Pelodiscus sinensis: one gene and its partner. The protein of the gene in region 2 interacts with the protein of the main gene of each other region in a pairwise test. Links are inferred from orthologs where the notes say so. Each region holds a gene or a part of one and is shown on either strand. Other genes may lie near its edges.

Region 1 (14,656 bases), on a different chromosome or scaffold from region 2:
GCATCCTACCCGGGCCTGTTTCTCAGGCAGCATGACCTAGTGGTTAGCACGCGGACCAGCATGCGGGAGACCTGGCTTCTGCGCCTGGCTCAGCCACTGACCTGCTGCTCACCTTGAGCAAATCCCTCTGCCTCAGTTTCCCCCACTAGAATGGGACGAAGGACGCTGAACTGGGAGGTATTCCGGGGGAGGGGATCGGCCGGGAAAACACATCTCTGCCAGAGCAGAGGGGTTTTACGCTACACAGGTGAGCGAGGACCTGCCCAGGGCCTGGCAAAGAGGCAGGGTCGAGGGGAAGGGGGTCTCAAGGTAGAGAAAGGAGCAGCCACCCCCAAAAAGGAGTCTGACGAATAAAAGGGGGCACCTACCCCATGTTGCCTGCTCAGCCAGACAGGATGTGTTTGACGAAGGCTGTGAGGGGAGGAGAGAAGCATTAGTCACAGAAAGGGGCCACTGGGCCCCCCCCAGCCCTCTGGCTCAGAGCCTGCGGCCAGAGGGCCCCGAGTCCGGGCTGACCCTGGGCTCCCACCTTCGTAGTTGATGCAGCCGTTGGCGTCCTCATGCCCAGCTAGGAGAGCGTCCACCTCCTCCTCCGTCAGCTTCTCGCCTGTGGGCCGGGGGGGGGGGGGGGTTAGCGCTGGCGAGAGGCTCAACCAACACCCAGAGGATCCTGTCTTTGCCCAGTGACAGGGCGTCACGCCTCTGGCACTCGCCCCGCCCAGGTGCCGGACTGACAGCCCTGTGGGGGCCGAGTCCAGGGAGCCCTGTAATGCCCGACCGCCACCCCTCCCCTGCCCCAGATGGGTCCAGCCTGGGGGCGGTAGGGCGAGCTTGCCCATCCGTGCCCAGGGGAGCCGAGTAGCGGAGCCGCCTTGGCACAGCCAGGGCCATTGGCAAGGGGCTGTGCCAGGCCGGATACCTGGGGGTCTCTGCCCCAGATTCACTGAGCCTCGCCAGCCTAGGGGCAGCTGTCTTGGCCTGGGGCACCCTCCCCCTCCCAGCTGCAAGGGGCTGGCTCGGGCGCTCACCGAGTGTGGAGAGCACGTGGCGCAGCTCGGCCCCCATGACGGTGCCGTTCCCCTCCTTGTCGAAGACCCGCAGCCCCTCCACGTAGTCCTCGTAGGTGCCTTGGTCCTTGTTCTTGGCGATGGTCTGCAGCATGGGCAGGAACTGCTCGAACTCCACCCGCCTGGAGTTCAGCTCTGCCGGGAGGGGGAAACTGAGGCTGCGCCGTGGGACTTGCCCCCTGCCCGAGCCCAGGGGGGCCCTGCCATGCAGCCACCCCCACGTGGCTGGGGAGAGGCGGTCCAGCACCGCATGGGGCCCCTGATGCCCCCGTCACATAGCCCAGCCACACCCCATGGCATGTAGTGGGGGCCTCCTCCCTCTAGGCCGGAGGTTCCCAAACTTTTTGGCCTCAATGCAGACCTTTCTGCGGGCCACCAGCCAGCCACCCATGGTGACAAAAGAGGTGCAGGCGGGGGCTGAGGGGGGAGGGGCTGGGCGGGAGGTAGGGAGGTACAGGAACTGTGAGGAGGTGGGGGTAAGGAGCAGGGTGGGGATATGGGGTCTCAGCAGGAAGGGGATGTGGGGTCTGGGCATGTGGGTGATGGGGGGTTGCTTATCTGGCTCCATGCTCCCAACTGCTCCCAGCCACCACCCCCTGCTGCTCCCATTGGCCGTGATTCTGGCCAATGGGAGCAGCGGGAAAAGCCTCCAGGTGAGCAGTTTCCCAATCTGCTTTCTCCCTTTGTACGCTGGATCCAGCCAGCAAGTCCCACCCCCCCTGCAGCGGGGAGGGGGCCGTGGGACTAGAGCACCCGCTCAGGTGCCCTGCTGTGGCGGGGAGGGGAACCCGGAGCCCATGGATCACACTTTGAGAACCACTGCTCTAGGCTGTCCCTGGAGGGCAGCAGCAGCCTCCTCTGGGCGTCCCCTGGAGAGGGACCCCTCTCTGCTGACGCCAACAATCTCTGAAAGGCTCCAGCTCCACTCCCATGGGAGCCCCCCAGAGCAGGGGGGCCTGGAGGAAACGCCCCTTGGAGACCCGAGGGGGTCTCCCCCTTAGAGCAACTGTGCCAGACCCCCCCCAGACTCAGGCACGTGCCCTTACACCAGGATCCAGACTTCTCCCCCCTCTCCGCCATCGCTTCCCGCTTCCCCTGACTCCGGGCGCTGGGGCTCTGGGCACTGTCTGCTAGCGCCCAAGCCGCCCCCCCCCCCCCCGGCGCCTGCTCACTCACCATCGGGCTTGGGGTGGCCCAGCACTTTCATGACCTCGGCGTTGGTGGGGTTCTGGCCCAGGGCCCGCAGCACGTCCCCACATTGGCTTAGCTGGATCTTGCCGTCCCCAACCCGGTCGAAGAGCTGAAAAGCCTCCCTGTAATCTGGGGGGTGGAGCGGAGCAGGTCAGAGGGGCTGGAACCCCACAGCCTCGGCCCGTTTAACCTGCCTGCTTCATGCCAGGATCGGGGCCAGACTGGAGGGGGGGGGCACAGCCCGGTCCAGATCACCCTTCCTATTGGCATCCAGTTGTAACTGGGGCCACGCCCCGGCGCAAAGCCCAGGAATCGCCAACCCCAGCAGGAGCCGGGGTCCTCACCCCGAGACCTGTGTCCCCCCATCCCAAGGGACACCATCCTGTATGGCCCCCGCAGGGAGCATCACAGAGATGCAGCCACCTCTGGGGTGAAACCTGGCAACTGCTTAGTCACCACTGAGATGCAGCCACCTCTGGGGAGGAATGCGACAGCGGCTAAGCAATACCACCCACGCACCGCAGGACAGGAAGTGACGCCCACATCTGTGTCGGATTGCAACTACCGGGGCCTGGCTGAACGAATGCCCAATTATGACGCTGGGCCCAGGTTAACGCCTCTCCCAGCGTGGCCGTGGGATGGCTCCTTACCACACGAGGGCACCAGAGCCTGCTGCTTTGGGGTGTACAGGACAGGGCGCCCACAAATGGCCCAGACCTGCTACTGCAGCAAGGCTGAGGGAGGGCTCCTTTCGCTCACATGGCCAGGGTGGTGGCTTTGGCGCAGAAGGCCAGAAGTTCTAATCCCAGCTCCTTGCGGCAGGCCTAGAGATTTACCCTCCAGGTTGGGATCAGTTTCTGGGGGAGCCCCTCCAGGCTGAGAGCTCTCTGTGGCCAAAGCCCAGTGCCCCCCTGCAGGCTGGTGCCATGTAACCAGGCACCAGGAGAAGATCCCCCAGGCAGGAAACAGCTGGATGTAGTGGGGGCAGGCTGGTGGAAGTGCTGCCCTGCCACACAGACGCATGGCTTACCTTCCAGCTCCTCCTTGTTAAACTCAATCTGCAAAGAGAGAAATGGATGTTAACTAAGACAGGGGAGCTGCACAGTCTGTTACGGACCTGGGCCCGGGCAACACGCTCTGGGGCAGAGCCAGGGCCCGATCCTGCTACATGCCTCATGGCAGGGGGATGCCTCGGTCATTACCTGCCTGACCATAGGCTCTGTGGGGCTGCCAGCCATTGGGGAAATGCAGCAGCCAGTGCTGGCCTTTGGGAGGTGGGGCAAGCCATGGGTCTGCTGTGAGCTCCTCCCCGCTTCTGGTCTGCAATGTGTCCCATGGCATAGGGGTCAGGTGGGGGGCAGGATGGGTGTGATGCTGATGGTGAAAGGGCCTGTAAGTTTTGATCCAGATCAGATGAGGGCTGAGTCTGCTCCTGCCCCAGCTGGGGGGGCTGTGGGGATGGGGATGGGGCAGAGACCCTGGCTCAGGGTCATAGGGACACCAGGCCCGGTCTCGGCCAGCAGGGGGCGCTGGGCTGGGCATGCAGCTGAATACATATAAGGGCCTGATCGCCCCCTGGTCACACTCTTTATAGGGGCCCTACCTCACTGCCTCAGGAATTTTGCTGCATTCTGTCCCCTGCACAGAGGCCTGGCGGGTGGGGCTCCCCGGCCCCCGCCACCGCAACCCGACCCCCTTCACACAGAAGGTGGCGGCCTGGCAAAGCAGTGCCCGGCGCTGGGGCTGAAATAAATCTGCCTGGAAAAGGGGGTGCTAATCCCCCCACCCGCGGCCACCTGTTCCCGAGCCGGCTGCCTGGGAAGGCAGGCCCATTCCAGCCCTGTCATTAAAATAACAGGGGCCTGCTCACTGGCTAAATTTATCCTGGCCTGAGCTCAGGGCCCCCATCTGTGACTGTCTAACAGCCCCCCCCCCACCGCCGTCTCGCTGGCAAGGGGCTCTGGCCATTGTTGGAAAGAGCTGGAAACAAAGCCATGGTAGAGCTGGGAATAACACCAGCTCTCAGTGTCCTAGCTCCCAGCGTCCCCACCCCCACTCTAACCCCTAGACATCACTGCCCTTCCAAAGCCAGGGACAGCACCCAGGAATCCTGCCTCCCTAATCCCCCTCTCTAACCCCTAGACATCACTGCCCTTCCAAAGCCAGGGACAGCACCCAGGAATCCTGCCTCCCTAATCCCCCTCTCTAACCCCTAGACATCACTGCCCTTCCAAAGCCAGGGACAGCACCCAGGAATCCTGCCTCCCTAATCCCCCTGTCTAACCCCTAGACATCACTGCCCTTCCAAAGCCAGGGACAGACCCCAGGAATCCTGCCTCCCTAATCCCCCTGTCTAACCCCTAGACATCACTGCCCTTCCAAAGCCAGGGATAGCACCCAGGAATCCTGCCTCCCTAATCCCCCTGTCTAACCCCTAGACATCACTGCCCTTCCAAAGCCAGGGACAGACCCCAGGAGACCTGACTCGCTGATTTCCCCCACCACCACCACCATGTTCTAACCACTAGACCTCCCACCCTTCCTGGCCACTGTCTAGGAGCTGGTTGCTTAGATGAGTCTCCGTTAGATTAAGCTGCTCCACGGACCCCTCCCATCCCCTGCTTCAGTCCCAGCTCTGCTGTGAAGCGCTGGAAAGCGGGTGAGGATAGACCGGGGGGCTGGAAGCTAGCACTCTTGGATTCTGGTCCCAGCTCTGGGACAGCAGTGGGATCTAACGGGGGGGGGGGGGAGGAGGGCTATCCGGACTCCTGGGTTCATGTCCCAGCTCTACCACTGGTTTACATTGGGCAAATCGCAGCACCCACCTGTGCCTCAGTTTACCCATCTGAAAAGGGAAGAATAGTGGCCTTCACTGCAGGAGGGGGGGTGTTCACTCCTCTGTCCCTGATGAAACCTGGGGGAGCCCCCGGCCCTCCAGCAACCATCAGGGGAGCATGTGGGGGAGGGGTGCCATCCCACCCACTGCAAATGCAGGCGCTGGGGGGAGGGGCAGTATTCGGGGCCACGGGGAAGCAGGTGGAGAGGGGTGCTAGTCCCAGGGGTGTTTTCTTATCTGCCCAGCACTGGGCAAAGTGGGCAGCGCGGTGCAGGCTGGGGTATCCTCTCCCATTCACATGGCAGGCAGGGTGGGTTTCTATTTGGGGTGCTGCTACCACCTGAGGGGAACCCCCCCTCAGCTGCAGTCCTGCCCCCCCCCCCGGGTGACGACCCCACATACCACCACTTTGGAGAGGTCGATCGGCGGCTCTTTGGGTTTCTCCGGGGCCGGGGGTGGGGCCGGGGCCGGGGCCGGTTCTGGGGCTTTGGGCTTCGCTGCTGCAGCCGCTGGCTTTGCGATGGCTGGTTTGGCACCCGGCTTGGCTGGCGCAGCCACCGGCTTCTTCACCGGCAGCTCCTTCTTGGGGGGCATGGCGGCTGCGCCCGGCGGCTCGTGCAGGCGGAGGCGGCTGTGGGGCCGTGGCAAAGTCCCAGCCTGGGGCTGCCCTGCCTGGCCCAGCTTAAATAGCCCGGGGTGACGTCAGGCCGGAGGCGCGCTAGATAAGGGCAGTGCTGGGGGAGAGGGGGGGCTAAACGGAGAGCATCATTCATTGTCAGAAGTGGCAGCCCCCCCCCCCCGCCCCCGCCATCCAACTCCAGGGCTTTTCTTAGAGGTGAGCTCCCGGGAGCAGCCATGCCAAGCATGCACCAGAGAACCAGGCCGCCTGCCAGAGGAAATGCCCCCCCCCCCCGCCCAAGCAGGCTTGGAGGGGCATGAGCGTAGGGCTGGTGAAGGTGAGGGCCGGGCCAGAGACAGGGGGCAGCGGCTTAAGGACCCAGGAGTCCTGACTCCCAGCCTCTCCCCCGGCCCCCCTTGCATCTGGGCTCCTCCACAAGCCACCAGTGCAGGGCTGGGGAACCTCAGCGCCCCCCCCCCCCCGCACTGCTCCATCATGGGGCTGAAACACACAAAATCTACTAGGCTGAGCACCCCCCGCCCCAGGCTCGAACGTAGCACGTGTCTGTCACCTTCCCAGTGGGGGGCCACGTCACTTGTGGCCCCCCCACTGATTTTTCTGTGGGTCAGCAGCCCCCCTGCTCCTGCACTAGCACCTCGGCCTCCCCCCCTCAGGATTAGAACCCAGGCGTCCGGGCGCCACGCAGCAAGGCCTGGGCCGCGTCTCTAGCCCCTCCGAAGTCCAGGGACGGGCAGGGGTAGCAGCGATGGGCTGGGGACACCGCTCTGTCAAAGCTGGGCAGACAGCCTGGTCCGTGGCTGGGTGCTGTAGGCCACAGTCCTGGGGCACTGAACGTGGGGGTGTGTGTGTGTTAGGGGGGTACTGGCTGTGACTGGGGAGGGTGGCTTCAGCCGAGGATTTACCCCTTCTCATATGCTGCTGTGAGGTACGGCCGGCATCCGGCACTCTGCACGGGGTGCCCCGAGCTCTAAGCAGCTACTGGGGGCACACCCCAGAGGTGGCTGCAGCGCCGTGAGAGTCCCTCGGCCCCTGGGTGGGTTGATTAGCACCTGGAAATTACCCTGAGTGGAAACAAAAGGGCCTGTCCTGATCTGGCCCTGGGCCCAGCCCTGCAGGCTAAGCAGGGGTTGATGGAAAAGTCCAGCTGGCTGCTCCCCCGTCACGGTTTGATTAGGGCTTGGCTCACGGCCCGACGTGCCCCCCCTGCCCTGCAGTCCCATGAAGCGGGTTTCTCCGTAGATTATTATTAACGAGCCTGGCAGGGCGCCCGCGGTGCTGAGCAGGGACCGGGGCCCAGCGCCACCGGCTGAAACGTGACTCGGGCACCTGAATGCCACGAAGTTTCCAGCGCTTCCCCTTGTTGACAGGGTGCTGGGGGGGGGGGATCCCGGCCTGGCACTAGGTGGGGAGGATGCAATTCCCCCTTCATATCCGTGAAACTGGCTCCCCTGCCCTGACACATGAATCCTTAGGGGTGGGGGCAGGGCCTGACTGTCTCCCACGCCAGCTCATTCCCCCCTCCCCCAGCTCTGCACCCTGGGTGGGGCTGTGCCCACCCTGTGCCTCAGTTTCCCCAGTGAAACAGGGCCGCTTCCTCCCCTCCGGAGAGAGACGAGGACTCACAGCCCATGGAACCGAGGGCAAAACTGGACATGTGGCCTAGCCCCTCACAGGCCCCATATCGGGCCCACAAGGGAGCAGCTCTGGCCCCACGGAGATCTCCTTCCCCAGAGTTGGACCCAAGAGAAGCAGCAGGGGCGCTGGGGATTGGGCAGGGCTGGTAGAAGCCCCTTGGGGCTCCAGGGGAGGAGCCGCAAGACAGCACATGAACCCAGCTTTGGTGGCTAATTCACCCCTGCTTCATCGCAGCCCTCCTGCTGCCAGGCCCCCACCTCTGGGGCTGCCAGGGCAGCTGTTGGGCAGAGGGGCTGTCTTGCTGGGCAGTGCCTGGCCGGGGCAGAGCCCTGCACATCCCCCTTCCAGCAGGGGCTGGTGCCAGGTGAAAGCCAGCTCTGCCCAGCGCTGGCACTGGGGCCAAGGTCAGTGTGGGGGGGAGTGAGCCACTGGGCTCCAAGTTGCAGCTTTAGCCTTCAGTGGGCAACAGTGTTAACTTAGGCCTGGCTTGTTCCCAGGGAATGGGGGGGAGCCCGGAAGGGGGGGGGCAAGGCAGGCCAGGCCAGGCCGATGCTTCCTCCCCCTCCATCAGACCCAGCTCCCACGGCTGGGATGCACCCGGTACATACAGGAGGGTAGAGCGCACGGCTCCAGCAAGAGCTGGCCACTGGGCAGATGGGGAGGGGGAATCTAACCTCCACCCAGCCTGCGGCAGGTCCCTTCCTAGGCTGGGGTACCTGGGAACTGACCCCAGGAGTTAAGAAGTTGGCTGGGCCCCTCAAAGGTGGGACATTCCCCTCCAGGGATGGGGTTATCCAGCAAGCATCAGGCTCAACGGGAGCTGGCAGCCTGGCTGCAGTCCTCCCACGCCCCTTTCATTCACTAACGACATGAGAGTTCAGGTCCCGGTTCCCCTGGGACCCAGCCCTCCAAGGGGACATCAACGTTGCTGGGCCAGTCGGCTCCTCACTTTTATTGGCAGAGGCGGTTACAACGGTGCCGGGCGAGGGGCTGGCCTGGCGGGGCAGGCGGTGGCTGCCACAGGCTGGTGGATTCTGCTGCGGAAGAGGCTGAGGAGGTGCCCAGCTGGTGCAGGCCCGGGCCGTGTGGTGCACATGCTCACAAAGCAGCAAGTTCACAATGCAGATGGATACAGAGCGAGCGTTTGGGGCTGGAGCGGGGGGCAGGAGGAAATCCGCCTTCGCCCTGCCCGGGGGGGGGGGGGGGCAGGGCCGAGCCTTGTGCCCCGTCCAACCAGCCTGGAGCCCCCCCCCCCCATCCAGCTGCTTTTAAACAACTAAAAGGCACCTGAGATAAATAACATTAAAAAGCTGAGAAATTGGCACAAGCAAAGACAAAACATTCAACGAAACTCTCGGGGGGGGGGGGGGGGGGGGATGGAAAACAAGGCGAGGGCCTTGGACAGGGCGAGCCACAGCCACGGCCCATAGCGCAGAACAGGCAGGGCTGCATGTCACAGTGGGGGCGGTGGGTTCTCGTGATGGCACATGATCTTGGGGGTGGGGGCATCTGGGAGCTTTTTCCTGCCGGGGCTGGAGGAAGATACAGCACGTGGGGGATGGAAATCATTCCTTCTCGCTCCACAGGACAGGATCCCTGCCCTCCTCGGGGCCCCAGCTGTGCCCGTCACCCTGGAATCTGGGCTCTTCTCTCTACCGCGCTGGGACAGTGCCGTGTGCCAGCTCGGACTTGCTGAGCACCGCCCTGCAGGGCCGTCCGGCACGGTCTGCGTCTCGGACCCGGCTGGTGGGCTCTGGGGGGGGGCTGACCCCTGCCCCACGTCCTCACCTGCTGCATCTGGACTGATGCCCGCTGACAAGGCCCCACCCCCTTGCCCAGCTCCGCCCCCAGGTCCGTTTTCTTTGGTCAGTTAAAAGGCAGAGAGCATTTGGCATCCTCGGGGGGGCCGTGGCTCCCCCACCCCGGCTCCCCTCTCCATCGCGTCCCAGGGAGCAGAAGGGGCGAGAGGCGGGCTTAGAGACACGCAAGCGAAAGCCGGTGCCGCCAGGGGGCCTGGGCTGGCCCCAGCTGGGAAGCGGGGGAGTGTCGTGGCACTAAGAGCTGCTCCTGTCGTCTTTCAAGTTGTACCTGCAAGAGCAAAGGGGGGGGGCATGAATGGGGGTGCCCCCTCCCAGACCACATCCCACCGCCATGCGGAGGTGCCTTTGCAGAGCTCAGCTGGCTGCCCGCTACTCCCCCCACAGGGCGCTTGGAAGTGACCATGGGGCTGGGGATGGCGCCCCAGGCTCCTGGACCCACAGTGCTCAGGATCCCCAGTGTGGACAGCCCAGGTTCCCAAGGGTCCCCCCCCCTAAAACATATGGAGATATACTTATCGCATAGAGCTGGAAGGGATCTCGAGAGGTCATTGAGTCCAGTCCAGACCAAACATCATCCCTGACAGATTTTGCCCCAATCCCTAAATGCCCCCCCCCAAGGATTGAACTCACAACCCTGGGTTTAGCAGGCCCATGCTCAAACCACTGAGCTACCCCTCCCCCCGGGGGAGCCTGAAGTTCTTCAGGGCTAAGGGGGTGTGGGCACAAGGCCCCCCCCAGGTCTGGGGCTATGGAGCTCGAGAGGAGCCACTGGCCCTGGACTTCGGCTGTGGGGTGCACCCAGATCCGCCCCATTGCTAAGCTGTGGGGGGTGACCCCTCCTTGTATTGCTCAGCTGGGGGAGGGGCATTCCCAGACTGCTCAGCTGGGGTGCTCTTAGCCACCACCCCTCTACTCACCACTGGGCCCTGCCCTGGCTCAGGTCCATCTGCGACAGGTCAAGATGCACCTGGGGGAGAGAGGCTGCGGTCAGCTGATCGCTCCCCCACCCGTCTCCCCGACCGGAGCCCCACTCGAAACAGGAGGCCCAGTGGTAACCATGGCGATAGCCCCTTACCTTCCCCAGGGGCTCCCTCTCCCGGGACATGAAGGAGACGCTGTTCTTCACGCAGGCCTCCAGCTTCCTCCGCGCGGCCTCTTCGAGGGGCATCTCCCACTCGAACCTGCCGGGGGGGGGGGGGGGGGCACGAAGCCATAAGATGGGACTCGGGCCAGCCCAGGGGCAGAGATCTGCCCACGTCCGAGTCCCCCCCGATTCCCTCCCCCCTCACCTCTCGCTGAACTCCGGATTCAGGGTCCTCTTCCGCACGGTGGTTTTCCTCTTGGTCACGCGGTTCTTGTCGGGCAGGAGGATCAGGGAGACGTAGGGGTCGGGAATGTCCTTGGAACTGGCCCTCAGCTTCCTGGCAGGGGACAGAGCATGGCCCAGCTGTACTGGCCGGCCGCACGGCTGCCCCGCAAGCCAGAGGGGCATGGCCCCTGCTGGGGGCCCAGGCTGCATGGGCACGGGGGCGACCCTCGCGGCTGGACCTCAAAGACCCAGACAGCTGCAGGGAGGGAAGCTTCAGGGGGGGAGACACCAGCTGAGATCCGAGCCCCATTATATTAGGCTCGTTAGTAGTAGTATTACGGTAGCCCCCCGCAGTGGCATCTTGAAGTAGGGGGGCACAGCCCGCAGCCGCGTCCTGCTGGCCAAGAGGACTTTACAACTCATACGGGGTAGCCAGAGAACCCAGCCCCCCCTCCCAAGGAGCCCCAACTTTTCCATATCCCCATCCCCGCCCCCCCTTACCTGCAGGAATGCACGACGACAACTAGCTTGCGCTCGTCCGTATGGTACCAGGCTGTGAGTTGCAGCTGGCCCAGGGGGCCCTCTGCCAGCTCCGAGTTACTGCGGCGAAGAGAGGGGGCAGCATTACAGGGGCCCCCAGAATCCTGCCCCTTTGGGCAGGTGCATTATTAGTAGAATTACGGTAGCACCAAGAGGCTCCAGTTGAGGTTATGGGTGCACCACTGTCTGCCCATTATTAGTGGCATTAGGGTAGCCCCATGCTAGCGCACCTGGTATTAGTGGTGTTACGGTAGCTCCTAGAGACACCAGCTGAGATCTGAGCCCCATTATAATAGGCTCATTATTAGTAGTATTACGGCAGCACCCCCCCCCCCCCAGTGGTGACTCCTGGCCAGGTGAGGAGGCATAATCCCCCAGGGAATGGATGGGAACCCCGGGTGCCCCCCAGCTGCACCCCCCACGTGGGTGGCCCCCCACCTGTCCGTGTGGGTGAGGCGCTGACGCAGATCCTGTGCGGGGCTGGCACCCCCGGGGTCCCCGTCTTCCCCGGTGTAGAGCTCCAGCCCCGGCCCCCACGCGTGGCTCTCGGCCTCGTCACCGGCTGACGGGGCGCTGCGGGGCTCCACCCCCGAGTGCTGGGACAGCAGGATCTGGGGGCAGAAGGGAATCAGAGGGGTTCGGCCTCCAGTCCCCCAAGCCCTGAGCCGCCTTCACCCCACACATCACGTGCCCTGCCCCCCCACACCAAGACTCCCAGCCTCACACTCCATGCCCCCCCTTCGCCCCCGCACTGAACCCCCTTGCCCCACGCGCCCCCCCCCCCCAGTTCCCTCACCCCATGGCCCCAGCCGCTCACCCCATGTATCGAGTGCCCCTGCACACTCCATAAACTGAGTCCCGCCGCCCCCAGCCCTCCCCACCTCTCTGGGCAACTCACCCTGAGCTGCACCCGCAGCAGGACCTGGCTGGTGGGGCCGGAGCGGGTGAGCGGGAACCAGCGATCCAGTGTCAGCGACTCGGCCGCCAGCAGCTGGGTGAGGGGCAGGCTCAGCGCCCCCAGGCCCTGCCCCCCCTCGTCCTTCACCTGCGGGCAGGAGGGACGGACAGTCAGGGCTCAGGCCGAGTCAGACAGTGCGGGAGGGGGCACTGGGGGGGGATTTACCTGCAGCTCCAAGGACTCCACATGGGGACGCTTGACGAGGAAGGAGAAACCTTCGTCCCAGATGGGCTCCGCGTTGGCACGGGAGACCTGGGGGGGGAAGGTGGAGCCTGTGAAAGCAGAGGAGCCAGGACCCCCCCCCCCCGAACCGCCAACCAGCTGCCACCCTCCCCTCAAACTCGCAGGGGTGCCCCTCCCCACAGCACAACCCTGGGTTCAGGTACCCCCCAATGCCTCCCCCTCCAGCAGCCCCCACCACCAGGCCAGCCCCCAGACCACCCCCCCACCCCACAGGGCCCCATCCAACACCCCCCACCTGTCCTGGTGCCTCTCCCCCTCCAGCAGCCCCCCCCACCAGGCCAGCCCCCCCATCCCCCGCTACCTTGCTCTTGTGGGACACCTCCTGGACGACGAGGCTGACGTAGGGGCTGGGGGGCTTAGAGCCCTTCAGGAGCTGTGGAGATGGGGAGGTGAGTGGAGGAAATAGGGGGGCACGAGCCCCATGGAGCTAACCGAGCCCCCTCGCCCTCCAGGGACTGGGGGGGGGGGGGTGTGGCCACTCGGGCTGGGGGCACCAAGCTGTGCCCAAGGCCCCCAGCCGGTGATGGGGCAACCTGGGAGCCTGCCCTGCTTGGGGTGACTGGCACCGGGTGACGCTGCGCTCTGGGGGCGTCTCCAGCCCCACCAGGATGGGGGCAGAGTGAGCAGCCCCTGCAGGGGGCGGCGCTGGAGGCCAGGGCGCGGAGGGGGCCCAGGCGTCCGAGGGGGCGGGGAGAGCAGGCGGGGGGCCGGGGCGCGCTCACCGGCAGGTTGGCCGCCTGGTCCAGGAAGACGGAGAGCAGGGCGGACGACAGCTCCGCGCTCTGCTGGGTCTGGATCAGACTGTTCACCATCAGCACCTGGAGGGGAGCCAGCGTGAGCACGGGGGCCACCCGGGGCAGTGGCTGGGCCAGGAGACCCGGCGTGAACCACGAGGGCTGGGACAGAGCACGTGCCTGGCACGCAGCCCTGACGGTGCCCCTCACTCCCCCCCCAGCTCTGCCCCCCCAGCCCTGACGGTGCCCCTCACTCCCCCCCCAGTCCTGCCCCCCCGCCCTGCCAGTGCCCCTCACTCCCCCCCCAGCTCTGCCCCCCCAGCCCTGACGGTGCCCCTCACTCCCCCCCAGCCCTGCCAGTGCCCCTCACTCCCCCCCCAGCTCTGCCCCCTCCGCCCTGCCAGTGCCCCTCACTCCCCCCCAGCTCTGCCCCCCCAGCCCTGCCAGTACCCCCCACTCCCACCCCAGTCCTGCCCCCCAGCCCGGCCAGTGCCCCTCACTCCTGCCCTGCAGCCCCTGCCCCCCCCAGCCCTGCCAGTGACCTTCACTCCCTCCCCCCAGCCCTGCCCTCCCAGTGCCCCTCACTCCCACACTGCAGCCCCTTCCCCCTACAGCCCTGCCAGTGCCCCCCACTCCCGCCCCAATCCTGCCCCCCAGCCCGGCCAGTGCCCCTCACTCCCGCCCCCCAGCCCGGCCAGTGCCCCCCACTCCTGCCCCACAGCCCCTTCCCCCCAGCCCTGTCCCCCTAACCCTGCCTGTGCCCCTTACTCCTGCCCTGCAGCCCCTTCCCCCTCCAGCCCTGCCTGTGCCTCCCACTCCCGCCCTGCAGCCCCTGCCCCCCCCAGCCCTGCCCGTGCCTCCCACTCCCGCCCTGCAGCCTCTGCCAGCGGGCTCCTGACCAGCAGCCCCCTGCCTGCCCAGCGCTGGCCCTTCCTTGGCCAGGTCGCGTGGCCATGGGGCTCACCCCCCTGCATTATCCCCGGGGAACCCGAGGGCCTGTGCCAAGCGGATGTCGGCTGCAGCGCTGAGCACAGGGCTTGAGGGCCGTGACCGGCCCCGACGAATGGCGACCCCCAGGCATCGGCGCTCGGGGGGGCAGGGGAAAAGGACCCCAGGCTGCTCTGCGAGATCTGGCCCCACCCCAGCCTGGTGCGAGGTGACGGCGCTACACGTCCCGGGAGGGTCCCGGCAAACCCCAGGCCCGATCCTGGTGAGGAACCTGCCCCCCAGCAGAGGGAGGGCTGGGCACTCCCAGAGCATCAGTGACACTGGCTCGCCCGGGCCAGCTCTGCGGAGGGGACGGGGGACTTGGGCTGAGGCCCAGCAAGCTCATCTCGCTAATGGCACCTGCTGTGCTGCCCTAGCCTCCCCCCCGTCCCCTCCCCCCACGGGCTGAGCTGCTGCCTGTGCCTCTCTCAGGTCCTGACCTGACCCCCCCCCCCCCCCAGTTCCCCTGCTCCAGCCCCCGGTGCCCAGGATCCCAGCCAGGACCCCTCTACCTGCTCCAGCTCGGCGCCGTTGGGGCTGGGGGCCAGACACTCCAGCCTCACGTGCAAGCGGCCGGATTTCACGCCCTCCAGGGGGAGCCACTGGAAGCAGAAAAGCCGCAGGGGTCAGATCCCTGTAACCGCCCCCCCCCCGCTGCCCCCCCCCCGCGTGCCCGCGAGCTCCCACCTCGTCGAC
Region 2 (15,502 bases):
GCAGCACACACCAATGCCTAAGTCGCAGTAAATGTGCCTAATGGGCAGCCCCTGAAAACTGCTGCTTCCCAAAGGCCTTTGGAAGCGGTGTGTGAACCAAAGGCTGAGAGGGAAACAAAACGTGGTTTGTCGTCTTTACTTGTTTGTTGTTGTCGCCACAGATCTAATAATCGGGGGGGGGGGGGGGGGGTTGTTTTAGTGCCAAATCCTGGGGCCCTTACTCAGGCAGAACTTCCTCTGATTCACTGGAAGGCTTGTCTGAGTGAAAACATTGTGATCTGGCCCTTATCTAAATGCCAACTGCTCCTCCCAGAGCACCAGGAACACAGCTCCCTTTTGTGGGAGACGCAGGATGCCATTAAACGAGCAGCATTTGCCAAGATTTACTACTTCGGGGGGTGACAGCACAGTTATTTCCCACTGAGCATGGGGCAAATGACGGCCTCTCACATTCCCAGGAGTGACAACTGTTGGCAAATGCTGATTGTTAAAAACGCGGAGCACTGTGAACACGCTATCGAGCATGAGAGAGACTGAGGCACAGGGCAGAGGGGGAGCAAAAGAGAGCGGGAGACAAATCAGGCTCCCCAACCTCCAGCGGGGTGCCCCAGCTGGGACAGGGAGTCAGTTACAACACCAAGTTGCAGATAGAGCAGCCTATTGATTCATTAGCTGGGGGAGCGATTCATTAGCTCGGTGATCTAGACATTAGCATTCAGAATGGGGAAGGAGGGACGCAGAACCACACTACAAAGGCAGATGGAACACTGCTCCCCCCCCGCAACTCTACTGAAAAGACTCCCCAGAGCTGAAGGTGTGACTCCACACTTCCTTGCAGTCTGAGTGTGACTCTGGGAAATCACATGCAAGGGGAGGATCCTAAACCAGCTGGGGCAAAATGTGTCTCCTAAAAGGATTTGGGCCTGGGGACTGATGGAGCACTTCCAACTCCGGCCTAGCTATCTGGACGTGGACGCCGGGAGCAGTGCCGACAGAACCAACGTCCGGGCAGACCTCGGGAGAGTACTTACTGACTCTATGGCCGGATCTCTCACTGACTCCCTAACCTCTTCTTTCACAGTTGCAGCCTCCTGGAAGAAGATCAAAAAAAAGGAAGGTTTAACCAACCGTGACTTGAGACCAGAGGAGAGCGCCAGTGGGTCTCCTTAGAGCAGAGATGGGCCTGTCGGGGTTCTACGTGTGGCCCATGAGACATTTTGTTGCCCACGTGCAGGGTGGCCAGATTCCACTGCTTTCCGGCCGCGTCGGTTTTTTCCTACCCATATTATTAAAGGGTATGTCTACACTACCCCTCTAGTTCGAACTAGGGGGGGTAATGTAGTCATACAGAGTTGCAAATGAAGCCCGGGATTTGAATTTCCCGAGCTTCATTTGCATGAAGCCGGCCGGCGCCATTTTTAAATGCCGGCTAGTTCGGACTCCGTGCCGCGCGGCTACACGCGGCACGGATTAGCTAGTTCGGATTAGGCTTCCTATCCGAACTAGCTGTACACCTAGTACAGCCTAATAGGAAGCCTAATCCGAACTAGCTAGTTCGTGCCGCGTGTAGCCGCGCGGCACGGAGTCCGAACTAGCCGGCATTTAAAAATGGCGCCGGCCGGCTTCATGCAAATGAAGCTCGGGAAATTCAAATCCCAGGCTTCATTTGCAACTCCGTATGACTACATTACCCCCCCTAGTTCGAACTAGGGGGGTAGTGTAGACATACCCTAAGTGACATGCACATAAAGCCAGGGCACGGGAAGTGAGGTGTGGGCTGATTGCACACAACATGGACCATGAGAGCCGCGCACTCCCTCTGCACCCGTCACAGGCTCATGCTGCACACTCTAGGTACACCAGCGCAGGGAGCACAGCAACCCCGTCCTGGGAGACAGTGTTAGTTATGACATCGTGCAGCCACTGAGATGGAGGAGGGCCACTTGTGCGGCCCACTCACTAGCCTAGCTTGCCCCTCACTGTCTTAGAGGCTGTTCTGGAAAAAGGCTCCCAAATGGAAATTCAGCTTCTCTCCCTCCATGTGACACTGTATTTCTCCTGGTCCCCTTTCTCACTTCAAGCCCTCACTCAGCTTCCGTGAATGGGGATTTGCAGAGCTGAAGTCTGGGTTTCACAAGGCATCCGATTGCCACTACTGGCAACTGTTTTAACAGCACCAGAGTGTGGGCAAAACACCCCGGCGCAGCTTAGACAAAACCCCTGCCCAAAGGAGTTTACTGACTAATTTTTAAGTTAGCAGCAAATGCAGGAGACTGGCTGGAAATCAAGCTAGAACCTTGACTCCTATGTCTTTGTGGTCAACATGCACGGGAGGTCCCTAGCAAGGCCATTTCTAAACACGCAGCAGGGTATCACCTCTCTGTACAACACAGCGAAATATGACTTGTATCACACACCCCACGGAGCTGTCCATGCCCTGGAGGGGAGCTTGGGTGCCTTGCTCAGAGTGCTAAGACAACACAAGCCATGTTCCTGGATCTGGATCATGGGGGGCATCTGTCTTACTCTGCGCCCACGCTTCCTCAGCAGGCCGACTTCGAATGGGGAGCCAGGTTGAGAAATTGGCCCTATTTCTGACCAAGCCCATTCCATGGAAGCCATGTCTTGCCACAGTACAGAAGATGGATTTCCTCTCCATGCAGCTGAATGCGGAGCCTTGTGTGTTCAGAAGGAGGTTATCCTACCCCATTCTTCAGCTGCACAGAATAATCACAACGGCACCCTCTGACCGGAGGTGCAAAAGGGTGAGGGGCGATTTGGCTCGGTAGCCCTGTGCTCTGAAGGAAGAGCAGCGGCTCAGCCTACCTCGAAAGCTTTGTTGTTGTAGAATCTGTCCTCTAGTTTAGCTCCCCATTCTGCTGGGTCCGATCTGGATTCTGAAAATAAAAACCGACATTCTTGTTTGATCACATAAATGTCAAGAGAGTAATTAAGACAGGAAGCTCCCCAGTCAAATTACACTCACTGTGGGTGGCAGCAGGATGACAGGGAACATAAGAAGAACATAAGAACGGCCATTCTGGGTCAGACCAAAGGTCCATCTAGCCCAGTATCCTGAAGCAAAACTGACAGACTCAGAACAGAGGCAGCGTGGCTGTGAGAAAAAGAAAGGCTGTTTTCTGCACAGCCCCCAGGCGAGAGTCAAGGCCCTGCCAGCTAAGGAATGCCTTGCAGTGGTGGTTCTAGGAACAGTCCCAGAGGAGCAAACACACCCAGGAGCATCTAACATCTCGGGACAGAGCCACAATTAAAGCACACGGGAACAGCGTCCTCTCTCATTTTTCCCACCCCTGAGCGGAATCAATGTTGTTCTCTGACCAGCGAGATAACATGTCACTTGCTAATTGGGCACATAACAAAGTTCATATGGTGGGGGGGCCAAGGGGTTCTGAGTATGGAGTGGGACTCAGGCCTGGGGCTGGGGGGGTGCGGGCTCTGGGGTGCGGCTAAGGATGAGCAGCTTAAGGCTAGGACAGGGGGTTGCGAGGGAGAAAGGACTCCATCTGGTGGTACAGGCTATGGGGGTGAGTACTTTGGGGTGAAGGAGGGTGCTCCAGGGACTCTACTGCAAGGAGCGCTGACTCCCTCAGCTCTCTCGCCTCACAGCAGCATCGTGGACAGCACCGCTCCTCACCTTGGCAGCTCCAGGGCTGGGCCTCCCAGGCTGCAGCAAGGATGGGATGGACGGGCTCCAGATCAGGGCCAGGCTGCCCAGGCTGTGTCGGGATCAGGGCCGAGACTGGACTGCCCTGGCTGTGTCGGGATCAGGGCCGAGACTGGACTGCCCTGGCTGTGTCGGGATCAGGGCCGAGACTGGACTGCCCTGGCTGTGTCAGAGTCGGGCTGGGCCAGGTGGCCCTGGCTATGGCAAGTTGGAGTACAGACCAGGTGATGGTTGGAGTGATGGATCAGCCCTCCCCTGGCCACTGCAGGTTCCTGCCCTGCCCAACCTGCTGAAGCACCTGGCAGGTGAAATAGGTAGCTGCACAGCAAGGGAGCTCAGCGCAGGAGACCCCCTGGGCTGGCCAGGCTGTGCGCAGAGGCCCGTGCCTGCCGGCACAGCATGCACCAGCTTGAACAATTCACTGGGGCCTGTGGTGACCATGCTGCCTCCCATGGGGAAATGGAGATGACCCAAGAAAATGGCCCCACTGCAGATCCTAGAGGGACTCACGTGTCCAGAAACCGCTTGCCCTGGAGCAGTAAGCCAGTTACCCTCAGGCCCAGTGGCTGACCCTCACCCCAGGTTAGTGGGGTTCTCCTACAGCCCTGAGGGGTGGCCCCCATCACCCACAGGAGCCATTCAAAGCATAGGGTGGAAGTCAAAGTGAGAGGAGTAGCCTGGAGCCTGCCAGAACCAACCAGCCCCAGGAACCTCCTCCTGCCTGCCCCTTCCCTCTGGGACAGAGCATCAGCTGGCAGGCCAGGGGGGACCCACAAGGAGCTTTCGTGGGCAAAGGCGATAAAGGAAATGGGGCACAGGGAGACCAGAGCCCCGGGGGACCCCAGGAAGCAGCCACGGGCATTTGTGCAGTAACCCTGGGCTCAGTGAGAGCCCTTCCAGGGGGACAAGCCACCCCAGACCTGAGCGCGGATCCAGGGCTCGCTGCACCGCCCGTGGCAGAGCTGGGCAGGTGGGGATGCTGGAGGCGGGCGCCTGGGTCACCCAGCGGGAGCAGAGCTCAGGGCTCCCGGCTCCGCCCGCCACTCACTGTCCCGCTTGTCCAGCAGCTTCTCGAAGTGCTGGGCGGCGAAGGCGGGGATGTCCGCAGGCTGCTCCCGCAGCACCTCCCGGGCCAGCCCCTCCAGCAGGTTGGCGAAGCCGCACGGGATGCGCTGCTGGGTGTTGGAGAAGGGGATGGACATGGCGCGGCCCGGCACCTGCGGGGGGAGCGGGGGGCAGGGCTGTGAGACCGGCCGGGCCCGCGGGCAGCGATCGCCCCCCACCCCCCCGCGGGCAGCGATCACCCCCCCGCCCCCCCTCCGCAAGCAGCGATCGCCCCCCCCCCCCCCCCGCGGGCAGCGATCACCCCCCCGCCCCCCCTCCGCAGGCAGCGATCGCCCCCCACCCCCCCCCCCCGCGGGCAGCGATCACCCCCCCGCCCCCCCTCCGCAAGCAGCGATCGCCCCCCCCCCCCCCCCCCCGCGGGCAGCGATCACCCCCCCGCCCCTCCGCCCCGCGGGCAGCGATCACCCCCCCGCCCCCCTCCGCAGGCAGCGATCGCCCCCCACCCCCCCCCGTGGGCAGCGAACACCCCCCCGCCCCCCCCCCCGCGGGCAGCGATCACCCCCCCCGCCCCTCCGCCCTGCGGGCAGCGATCACCCCCCCGCCCCCCTCCGCAGGCAGCGATCACCCCCCCGCCCCCCTCCGCAGGCAGCGATCGCCCCCCACCCCCCCCCGTGGGCAGCGAACACCCCCCCGCCCCCCCCCGCGGGCAGCGATCACCCCCCCCCGCCCCCCCCCGCAGGCAGCGATCACCCCCCCGCCCCCCCCCCGCAGGCAGCGATCACCCCCCCGCCCCTCCGCCCTGCGGGCAGCGATCACCCCCCCGCCCCCCCCCGCGGGCAGCGAACACCCCCCCGCCCCCCCCCGCAGGCAGCGATCACACCCCCGCACCCCCCCCGCAGGCAGCGATCGCCCCCCCACCCCCCCCCGCGGGCAGCGATCACCCCCCCCCGACCCCCCCCGCGGGCAGCGATCGCCCCCCCGCCCCCCCCGCGGGCAGCGATCACCCCCCCGCCCCCCTCCGCGGGCAGCGAACACCCCCCCCGCCCCCCCCCGCGGGCAGCGATCGCCCCCCCCTACCCCTCAGCCGCTGCTCTCCGCAGTTTCTCGGACGCTTCCGTTGCCTGGCAACAAGACCCCGCCCCCCACCAGCTGGGGCTGGTGGCTGGGGAGGGACAAACGCGAAGCCAAACCTTGGCCCCGCCCATCTCCCGCTAGGCCCCGCCCCTGCCCAGGCCATTGGCACAGAAGAGCCTGGCCCTGAGGGCCCGCCTCCAGCCCCGCCCCCAAACCAGGGACCCTCTTCCTCCCCTGCCCACCCCTCTGCGTAGCACCTGTGAGCACCCGTCGATTGCACGGGACACCCAGCTCCTTGGCACAAAGACGGGACCCGGAGCCAGACCCAGCAAACCGCCTGCGTGCCGGCCGACCCGTTCGGACCTGGCCCTGAGCCAGGGGCCCCCTTGTTTTATGCCACTCCACTGTTTACTTCCAAATGTTGGGTTGTACCAGCTCAAATGCTTTATAGGCCTCTCAGGGCATTTCATCAAAGCTAGTACCCTTATCAAATTCCTTTGACCCATCTATTTTCCTTAAACCCATTTTGATTTGCATTTATGACTTACCTTTTAGTTTCCTAATGGGTCCTATCATCCACTCCATTAGCTTGACTGAGATCAATATCAAGCTGACTGGTCTATATTTAGTCAGCCTGTTTACCCCTTTTTAAAAAATTGGCACAACATTAACTTTCTCCCAGTCTTCTGGAACTTTCCCAGTGCTCCAAGACTTGTTTAAAATAATAATTAATGGTCTATTGAGTGCCTCAGCCAGCTCTTTTAAAACTTTTGGTTGTGGGTTATCTGCTCCTGCTGATTTTAAAATGTTTAATTTTGGTAGATTCTGTTTTACATATTGGTGAAATGGAACAAGTTATCATCACCATAGGATGAGATTATATCAGAAAGGAAATATTTACTGAACACTTCTGTCTTTCCTGCACTGATATTGATAATTCTACCATTTCCATCTAATAATGAACCAATACCATTATCAGATTTTTTTTGTCCTAATATGTATGAAAAATGCCTTCCTTTTGTCTTTAATTCTTCTGGTCATAGATGTCTCCTTATGTCCATTTGCTTCCCTTATCAATTGTCTACAGTTCCTAATTTCTGATTTATATTAATGATCAACATCAACTTAGAGGGGAGGGATAACTCAGTGGTTTGTGCATTGGCCTGCTAAACCCAGCCTTATGAGCTCAATCCTTGAGGGGGCCACTTAGGGATCTGGGGCAAATCTGTCAGGGATGGTACTTGGCCCTGCCATGAGGGCAGGGGACTGGATTCAGTGACCTCTCAAGGTCCCTTCCAGCTCTATGAGATAGGTGTATCTTCAGATACTAGCCAATTAGCCTGTCATAAGATGGGATTTTCAGGTCTCTCCTCCATGTTGGTCTTCTCTCCTGAGCCTCTGGTCTCTCGCTCTGTGTATCTTTCTCTCTCTCTCCGCCTCCTCCTACTGCCTCCCCCCCCCTCTCAGCTCTCCTCTGCCTTCTGTCTCTCTCTTTCTCTTCTCCGCCTCCTGCCTTTCACTCTCTCTCCGCTCCTCTGTCTCTGTCGGGGATGCACGCTTGTCCAGGCCCCATGGGTGTGTACGTCACCGCCCAGTCCCCCTTTGCCAGCCACCGTGGTGCTCAGCTGACTTCTGCGCCGCTCAGGCGCGCCGCCCCGTGGGAGCAAGCAGTGCAAGCGGCCGTTTGGGCCCCGCACTCTCCATGAAGCACCCCCGTGTTGCATGGGGAGCGCGGACCCCAAATGACCGCTTGCTCCTGCACGGCGGCCCAGCTGAGCAGCGCAAAAGTCAGCTGAGCGCCACAGTGGGAGGCAGCAGTGCCGCCCAGAGGGAACAGCCAGCATTTCAGCACTAGAGTCACAGACATTGGGCTACTATATATATATGATTATTTAAAGTGTGACACTTTCTTCCATTTATACATAAAAGTTTTTATAGATGTCTTCACTTCCCCTCTAAACCAGTTTAGTTTTTTAATGGGCCATAGCTTTTGTTCTCATTCGTGGGATTGCAGCTTCTTGGGCACTTGGTAAAATGTACTTGAATTATTCCACATTATTCCACATATTTTTCTAATTATTCTTCCTCCTAGTGTCAGCTCATAGTTGTTTTCAGCTGTGTAAAACTGGCCCCGTTAAAACACCATAACATGAAATGTCCCATTTCATTTACTACTAAGCCCATTTAAATCAATAATAAGTTGGCGTGGCTGGCTTGATGCCATTCGGGGACTGAGCTTGCTGCTATCAAGTCAGGCTGCTTTGGTTCATATTTCAGAGCATTCAGACAGACCCGGAAAGTTTCCTTATGCCTATGGCCCGTGGAGGCAGAACAGCACTCCAGAGGAGAGCCAGAGAATTGGTTACTGTGGGATAGCTACCCGGCCCTTCGCTTGAACCCGGCAGTCCCATGGGCTACGTCTAGACTGGCATGATTTTTCAGAAATGCTTTTAACAGAAAAGTTTTCCGTTAAAAGCATTTTCGGAACAGAGTGTCTAGATTGGCACGGACACTTTTCCGCAAAAGCAGTTTTTGCGGAAAAGCGTCCATGCCAATCTAGACGTGCTTTTCCGGAAAAAAGCCCCAAGGCTACAATAGTGGAAACACAATACTGCCCTGCTTACTTCCGGGCTGCTGCTGGTGACAGTGCTACCTTCTGAGCTGGGAGTCCAGCCAGCAGCCGCTGCTCTCCTCTTTGGCTGCCCAGCTCTGAATGCAATGCCACAGTCAGACGTGCAACTCTGCGAGCCCCTACAATAGCCAGATTTCACAAGGGGCTCATGGCTCTTTCCAGCCAATAAACACTTCACCTTGTCACGTTAGGCGGAGACTCCCAAAGGCACCTGCGGGCTTTGGATACATTACAGTTCAGGGGAATTGGATATTCCAGGTGCTACCAAGCAGAGAATATTTTTGTCTCTGCATGGGCAGATTTGACTGTAAATGCCCAGGGCCCCCAGTGCCGGCCTAAGCTCTGGAGCAGACCCGTGTTAACATCACGGACGAGGCGTTCCGCGTTATTTACACCGCTTCTGGTTCTTTTGAGCTAAGCCAAGTTATAGGGCCATTCAGAGCCCCTCTGCCAGGAGGGCTTCTTGGCTGCAGGTTTGATTAAGGGCTGGGCCAGCCTGTCTGTGTAAGGACTGAGGCCAGCGCCGGCAGGAAATACAGTCTGTGCCCTTGTCCAGGGCGACTCCCATTACTGACACCACCAGCACTGGGCCAGAGTTGGAGCTGATGATGCTTTTGCACCCGCTGGGCTCTGTGCTGCCTGCTGGGCCCTTGGGGACACCATCTCCCTGACTTGGTGCGAGGGAGTGTAGGGATTTGCATAGCAGTGCGGGGGAGGCCCCAGCCGTGACGCAGCCACTAGATGCATCCACAAGAGGACAGCCCGTCCCAAGGGGCAGAGAAGCAGACCTGGGGGGAAGAAAGTACTTACAGAGGGAGGCCTGGAGCACGGAGCTTCTCCACTGCTCAGCACCCAGCATGGGCAGCTCCAGTGCAGAGATGGGAGTTGAGCTGCCGGGGGCCTCCACAGTCCCTCAGGCCGTCTGTGCCAGGCACTGGATCCAGAGCTCCCGTGTCCCACCGGACCCTCCTCAGCCAGGAGCCGGTGGCTTTAAGAACTGCCCCCAAGGCTAGCTACAAGTAGCATGTCTCCCGCCCCGTGCTGTCTCCTCCCTGCCTAGCACTGGCCCCAGCCTCTGGGCAGAAATGCCGCTTTACTCTCTTGCTTCAACATACGTGAGTGCCAAGGGAGGGCGGCAGAACTGCTGCCTGCTCATGCAGTGAACGCCAGCCCCCACTCTGCCTCCAGCGCGCCTGCTGGAACCCCCTGGCTCCAAGGGATTGAGTAGCCTGCTCTTAGAGCTATCGCCCGGCCCCAGGAACCCCTCTTCCCCAGTCCAGGCTCGGAGACCAGCCCTCTCCCTGGGGGACTGGCCACCTCTGGTGTTTACCCGGCCCCTCTGACCCAACTGAGTGTCCCAGGGCTGCTGGGGTTCTCCTCCCACCCCCTTCATGGCAGGGCCATGCTGGCAGGGCCAGTATGAGTTGGCAGAGCAAGGTGCAAATCACCAGCACGCACACTCACCCAGCCCGGCTCCCCTCACTGGCGCCGGGACCAGACGCACCCGTAAAGAATGAGCCAGACACAGTGCTCACTTGGAAATGAACCATTTTCCTTCCGCCCTCGTGCCCGGGGCCGCTGCTCCTCTCCGTGCCTGTGGGGCCAGTCGCCCTGAGCTCAGTTCTGCCCAGCAGATCAGGAGCGAGTGCTGGGGCTGCTCAGGGAGTAATTGCTACAGAATGAGAACCGGGCCCCACGGCGGTGCTGTGTCAGCTGGAGGCAAGGGACCAGCCGGGGGATGACTGGACCGGCTCAGATCAAGCCGTGGAGACGCGCCAGGAGTGCAGAGCCGATCCTACCGCAGTGGGGGGCTGGGTGAGCTGCCTGGAGTTGCCCTGGGAATTTATTCTTGGCTCCATTGCTCAGTCGCCCAGAATGCCTTGTGAGCATGCGGTGGGGGCTGCACGCCCAGCCTCAGGAGGAGCCAGGCAAGCCTGGCTTGCAGCCAGCCTCTCTCTCTGCACCTGCGGCGGGTTCCGCGTCTGGAGGAGGGAGAGAGGAGACAGTCACCAGTGGCGGGGGCAGTATGCCCTTTATTTCTAAGGGAGAGACCAGCCGCACCTGCCTCCCTCAGGACTCTCCTTTGTCCAAAAGACACGGTGAGGGGTTCGGCCTCAGCCCCCCCACTGGGTAACGCTGGGGGGGAACTCTGTCCCGCTCCCCTGGCGCTAATGAGCACCAGCCTAATGCACGAAGGCGCCTGGCTTGGTGTCTGATCGTAGCTGGCTACTCACGTGTAGCCGATCCCCAGGCAGCGAGTGCCACGTGTGTACGTTGTGCCCAGCGCCCTTGTGTCCAAGGTACTGCCCTTGCCTGGCCTCTCCTACAGGGTGCCGGGAGGCTCCCTCTCTTAAGAGAGGCTTCAGGGATCTCTCCAGCAAACAGCCCCAGGTTTTCAGGGCGCCTGTTCCCTTCCCTCCAGCTGCCTGGCCTGGGCACTGGGATCCTGGCTGGCAACTCCCTTGGCTCCACTCTGAGCTCTAGCCACCGGCACAGCTGGTTGCTCTGTACCTTGGCACTACTGTGGGGACACAGGGACGCCCCCTTAGCAGCAACTCGGTCACTCCTGTGGGGAGTCACTGAGCCGAGGAAAGAACCAGAGCTGGGTACCAGGCAGGGCCTGGATTCGAACCCAAGTCCCCCACCTCCCAGGCTGCTGGGCCTGCATATCTCTAGCCCTGTGCAGGGGTGGCAGCTACAATCAGCCCATGCCCATATCCAGGGGATCCACCCCGTGGCACCAAGCTCTGCGAAAGGGAGGAAGCAGGTTGTGGATCCCAGGCTATCCAGGGGCTGGAACAGCTGTTAATGACCCAGGTGCTTTTCAACCAGAGATCTCAGGGCACCACCCACAGGGGGAGAAGGATCCTGCTCCCATTTTACAGAAGGGGACACTGAGGTGCAGAGGGGGAGGGAGTGTCACAGCCAATAATAGCAGAACAAGGAAGAGGAGCCAGGAGTCCTGGCTCCCAGGCCCCAGTTCCACAGCCCAGGATTGCATTTGCGGGGGGTGGGGGGGAGAGACCGGTCCACTGATCAGAGCAGCAGCCATGAGGCACAAGACAGCTCCCCTCTGCAGGGCCCAGCCAGTCCAGAGAGCAGGCAGCCAGCTGGATGCCACCCCACAGAGTGCAGGAGCTGGGGAGGGCCAGTGAGCACAATGGGGCAGGGGCAAAAACCAGGGCAAAACGGGGTATGTAGAGCAAGGGGCAAGAGGGCCAGGCAGTCAAAGAGCTCAGGCCGGAGTGCAGGGGACAGGCCGGGTCTGGAGCCCTGGCGGGGTAGGGCAGTTCCCGCGGGGAACGTTTGCTCAGGCAGCTGCCAGGGCGTGGGAACAGGAGACAGGCACAGGGGAGCCCTAAATTTCCAGCCCAGCAATTGACCGCCAGCACCCACCAGAGGCCTTTGGGGACCCCAGAGAAGCAAGGGCCCAGGGCTCCTGGCTGCTGCCCCATGGCCTGCAGGGCCAATGCTAGGGGGGAAGTCCCCCAACGGCCGAGCTTCGGCTCCCTCTGCGCCGCGCAGGCGGCCTGGCTCTCAGCTACCTGCTCGCCAGTGAAGCTGGTTCAGCCGTTACTATGGCAGCCGCCCGCCCACATGCAAAAGCCAGACGCTGCCAGGAAGCCTCAATGCCCCAGAAAGGTGGGTTGGGCCCGTCAGTGCCTACACCAACCAGGAGAATGCCCCTTTCTGCCGCCAGTGGCCGGCTGCCCTCTCGGGCTGGCCTGCGGCACCCGGTGACCTGCCCAAGGCACTGCTGCTGCCAAAGAACCGGGGGCGGCGGGGGAGGAGGTTGTGAGACGGGCCAAGGAGCAGGCAGGTCCCCTCCGCACCAGGCTGGGCAGAGCCGGGGATGCGCCCGTGGAGTTGGCTGTGCCTGTACTTGTGCCCTGGCACGTCTGCGTTCCACAACGACTCCACGCAGGGTTTATCCACCGCGCTCACACTCCGACATGGCCACTTACTGGGGCAGCCAATCAGGGAACAGACAGAAAATCACATGACTTATGTAACTAACCTGCCCTTTGAATTTTTCATCGATAATGAGGGGCTGAGGAATGCCCTGCAGCCAGTCCTCGGCCTGGCTCTTGGGGCAGGCCCCCAGCAGCATGTGTGCCCCACACAACGCCCTGGCCCTGCTCGGCTGAGCTACAGGCCAGCTTCTGAACACTGGCCCTTGGCCTTCTCCCAGGACACACGAGGACTGGGCAGTTCCCTGGCAGACGGGGGTTCACTGCTCAGCACCAGGATCCCTGGGGTGGGGGGGAGAGGTAAGGAGACGCCAGCAAGGAGAATGCAGGGCGACAGACCAGAGAAGTCTCTCCTGGACGTGCTGGGCACCCGCCCAAGACACTCGGAAGGGGGCTGCCCAGGGCATGGGGACCAGCGGGGGAAGCTCACCCCAAGCCAGGTGCCCAGATCTGGCGGGGAATGGGGGCAATTTGCCAGCACTGCTGATTTTTCATTGGCTTCCCACCAAGATTTCCCTGCTTTGATTCAAAGCAGCCCAGAGGGAGGCTCCATCTGACTCTTACCCAGGACTTCACTGCTCGGAGCAGGGGGGTTTTCCTCAGCACTCGCCCCGCAGCCCAGGGGGGGCGGTTTGGATGTCTCCAGCCCGGCCAGGAGAGTCATGAAATCCACCACAGTGTCGATGTGGTGCGGGCCGGCAGGGGCCTGGCTCAGGGCGCAGACAGCGCTCAGCCGGCTGAAGGACTTGAGCTCCGAGATGTTGGCCTGCAGGAAGAGGAGGATGAGGTTGAGGTCGTTGAGGGGGCAGGTCAGCATCTTCCTGCTGAGCAGGTCGAAGGCAGGCAGCATCTCGTAGACGGCCAGCAGGCGCTTGTCCCAGTGCAGCAGCTGCAGCACGTTGTAGAGCAGTGCGGGCGCCAGCAGGGCGTAGACCCCCCCGTTGGCCAGGCTGATCAGCTGGAAGGCGGAGAAGGCGACCAGCTTGCAGGGGATGACTGTGGGGACCTGGGGTGCGTCCCGGAGGAGCCCACTCTTGACGGAGCAGCTGAACTCGTCTTGCACAAAGACGCGGAGGAGGAGGAAGCCCAGGTAGAGGCAGGCGGCGGCGAGCAGCAGCAGCAGCAGCAGGTTGCGCAGCAGGTAGGCGCCCACCAGGCTGTGTGAGCGCTGCTTGCAGGCCAGGTAGCGCTCCAGCAGTGGGAACTCAAAGTACCGCTCCCGGCGGGCCCTGCGGAGACACGGGCGGGGCAGAGCCTCAGCAGGGTAAATCAGGCGCTTCCTGAAGTCGCTTGACACCTGGTTAGAGCCTGCCCCTGCTTTAACCGGCCACAGAGCCGGGAGAGGGGGAAGAAGGGACCTCAAAGGTCAGCTAGGGCAGCCCCTGCATGCCCTGGCCCTGAGCACAAGGAAGCGATGGGGGCTCAGGGACAGGGCACACGCTGGAGGGGTCTTGAGGAGTCTGTTTCTCCTCAGAACGTGGTTTCGTCCGGTTTTTCTCATCTGCAGCCAACACGTTTTAATTTCATTTTATGCCGAAAAAGAGCCATTTCCAAATGCTGCTCGTGTGCCTGTCACGGAGCGTCCGCTGCCACCCAGCCGGAGCAGGACACGAGTCACGAGAAGAAATTCAATGCTCCTCTGCCTGCTCCACCGTGCAGCCCGCCCCCTCTGCTCGCGCAAGCAAACCGGAGACACGGGAGCTGAAAACCCGGGTCACCCCCGGCTAGCAGGAAATGGCTCCACCTTTGGGTGAGGGCTGGGACGTCCGTGCAGGCAGGACTGGCGGGCCCAGCCACCACAGAGCGGCAACCTCTCCTTAGCAAATTAACTCCAAGTGCAAATGCAACAGGCTCCAAAGAGAGGCCTGGGTCCGGGTTCCTGCCTGCTGATTTCCATCCAGGGCGGAGTGGGGCCTGGGTTACTGGATGGGTTCTGGGGCAGAGACCCACCCAGCCTGGGGATCTGGAGGCCCTTTCTGCCTGGATCAGGCCTAAGGACATTCTCCAAGGAGACCCTACGGAGATCCCTCTGCCCTGCCCACCGCAGAGCTCTCGCCCCGGGCTCCAAGGGTCTGGATCCCCTCCAGTGCGATGGTGGCAGCAGGACTGAGCACACTGGGAGGGGAAGACCAGGGACCCAAAAAGCCAGGGTCAGTCCTCGAGCCTGGACTAGGGTTGCCAGACGGCTGAAAGAAAAATACCGAACACCCCGCCCCCTCCTCTCCCCCCACACCGGGAAAAAATGTTGTTGCAGGAAAAAACCCACGGGAGGGAGGTGGGAAGTTGCTGAGCAAAAAACCCACAAACACTACGAGAACCTGGATCACTGCTAGGGGTGGAAGGGGGGGGGCTGGAAACAGCTAACGGGGGGGCCAACTGGAAGCAGGGCTGGTCGGGGGGGGCGGGTGGAACGGGGCTGGCCGGGAGGAAGGGGGAGCAGGAAGCAGAGGTAGCGGGGGCGGGGAGAGGTGCAGTGGCGCTGCCCAATGGGAGACAAGGAAGAGGAATGGGCCGGCGGGAAGCACAGCTCGGGAGGGATGCAGGGGAAATGGGGGAGAACCAGCTTGCCGGGAAGGGGGGGGGGGGAGCAAATTGGCTGGTGGGGAGCGGGACTGACCTGGGCACTTGCTGCCCGTCCCGCGCAGGCTCCCGGCGACGCACGAGCGAGGAGGCTTCCCCTCCCCCTCCCACTCAACCCATTGAGGGCTCCCGGCAGCAATCGCGGCCTCTCCTCCCAGCTGGGACGCCCAGCCACTCCCCCGCCCCCGCCCCCGCCAGGCTTCTGTCCCGTGTGAAGCTGGGAAAAATTTGCACCTGTGCGGTATTTTCCGATGTTTTTACCGGACAGAGCGTGCAAATACCGGACTGTTCGGTGCAACGCCGGACACCTGGCCACCCTCGCCTGGACTCACTTCTCCAGCTCCTCCCAGAAGAGGCGGGCATCGGAGCTGGCCTGGCGGATCTTCACCATGTGCTGCACCAGGCGGATGGAGCGGTTGTAGGACTTGTCCAGCTCGTCGATGATGAAGAGAAGGTCGGAGTTGAGCGCAGGCGCGGCCGTGTATCTCCACAGCA

The links.
Region 1: the proteins of SPA17 (region 2) and myosin light polypeptide 6 interact in binary tests that used the Homo sapiens proteins (3 or more experiments, as listed by UniProt). The two-hybrid records come from large-scale screens. The link is inferred for Pelodiscus sinensis from reciprocal best matches to the Homo sapiens genes SPA17 and MYL6B.

The regions. Positions count from the first base shown.
Region 1 is NC_134729.1:4,094,639-4,109,294, forward strand, and holds the start of myosin light polypeptide 6, read right to left. Parts: upstream 5,792-14,656; 5' UTR 5,689-5,791; coding exon 5,497-5,688; intron 3,317-5,496; coding exon 3,289-3,316; intron 2,388-3,288; coding exon 2,244-2,387; intron 1,203-2,243; coding exon 1,029-1,202; intron 608-1,028; coding exon 530-607; intron 412-529; coding exon 383-411; 3' UTR 369-382; intron 1-368. Other genes in the region: ESYT1 (extended synaptotagmin-1), read right to left, coding at 9,424-9,457, 10,107-10,156, 10,265-10,370, 10,479-10,610, 11,000-11,098, 11,477-11,649, 11,937-12,083, 12,162-12,248 and 4 more. UniProt on the Homo sapiens protein: Regulatory light chain of myosin. Does not bind calcium.
Region 2 is NC_134736.1:12,366,982-12,382,483, forward strand, and holds the start of SPA17 (sperm surface protein Sp17), read right to left. Parts: upstream 5,969-15,502; 5' UTR 5,828-5,968; intron 4,903-5,827; 5' UTR 4,888-4,902; coding exon 4,734-4,887; intron 3,116-4,733; exon of another isoform or gene 3,063-3,115; coding exon of another isoform or gene 2,987-3,062; intron 2,898-2,986; coding exon 2,827-2,897; intron 1,092-2,826; coding exon 1,032-1,091; intron 1-1,031. Other genes in the region: PANX3 (pannexin-3), read right to left, coding at 10,371-10,438, 12,992-13,656, 15,340-15,502. UniProt on the Homo sapiens protein: Sperm surface zona pellucida binding protein. Helps to bind spermatozoa to the zona pellucida with high affinity. Might function in binding zona pellucida and carbohydrates.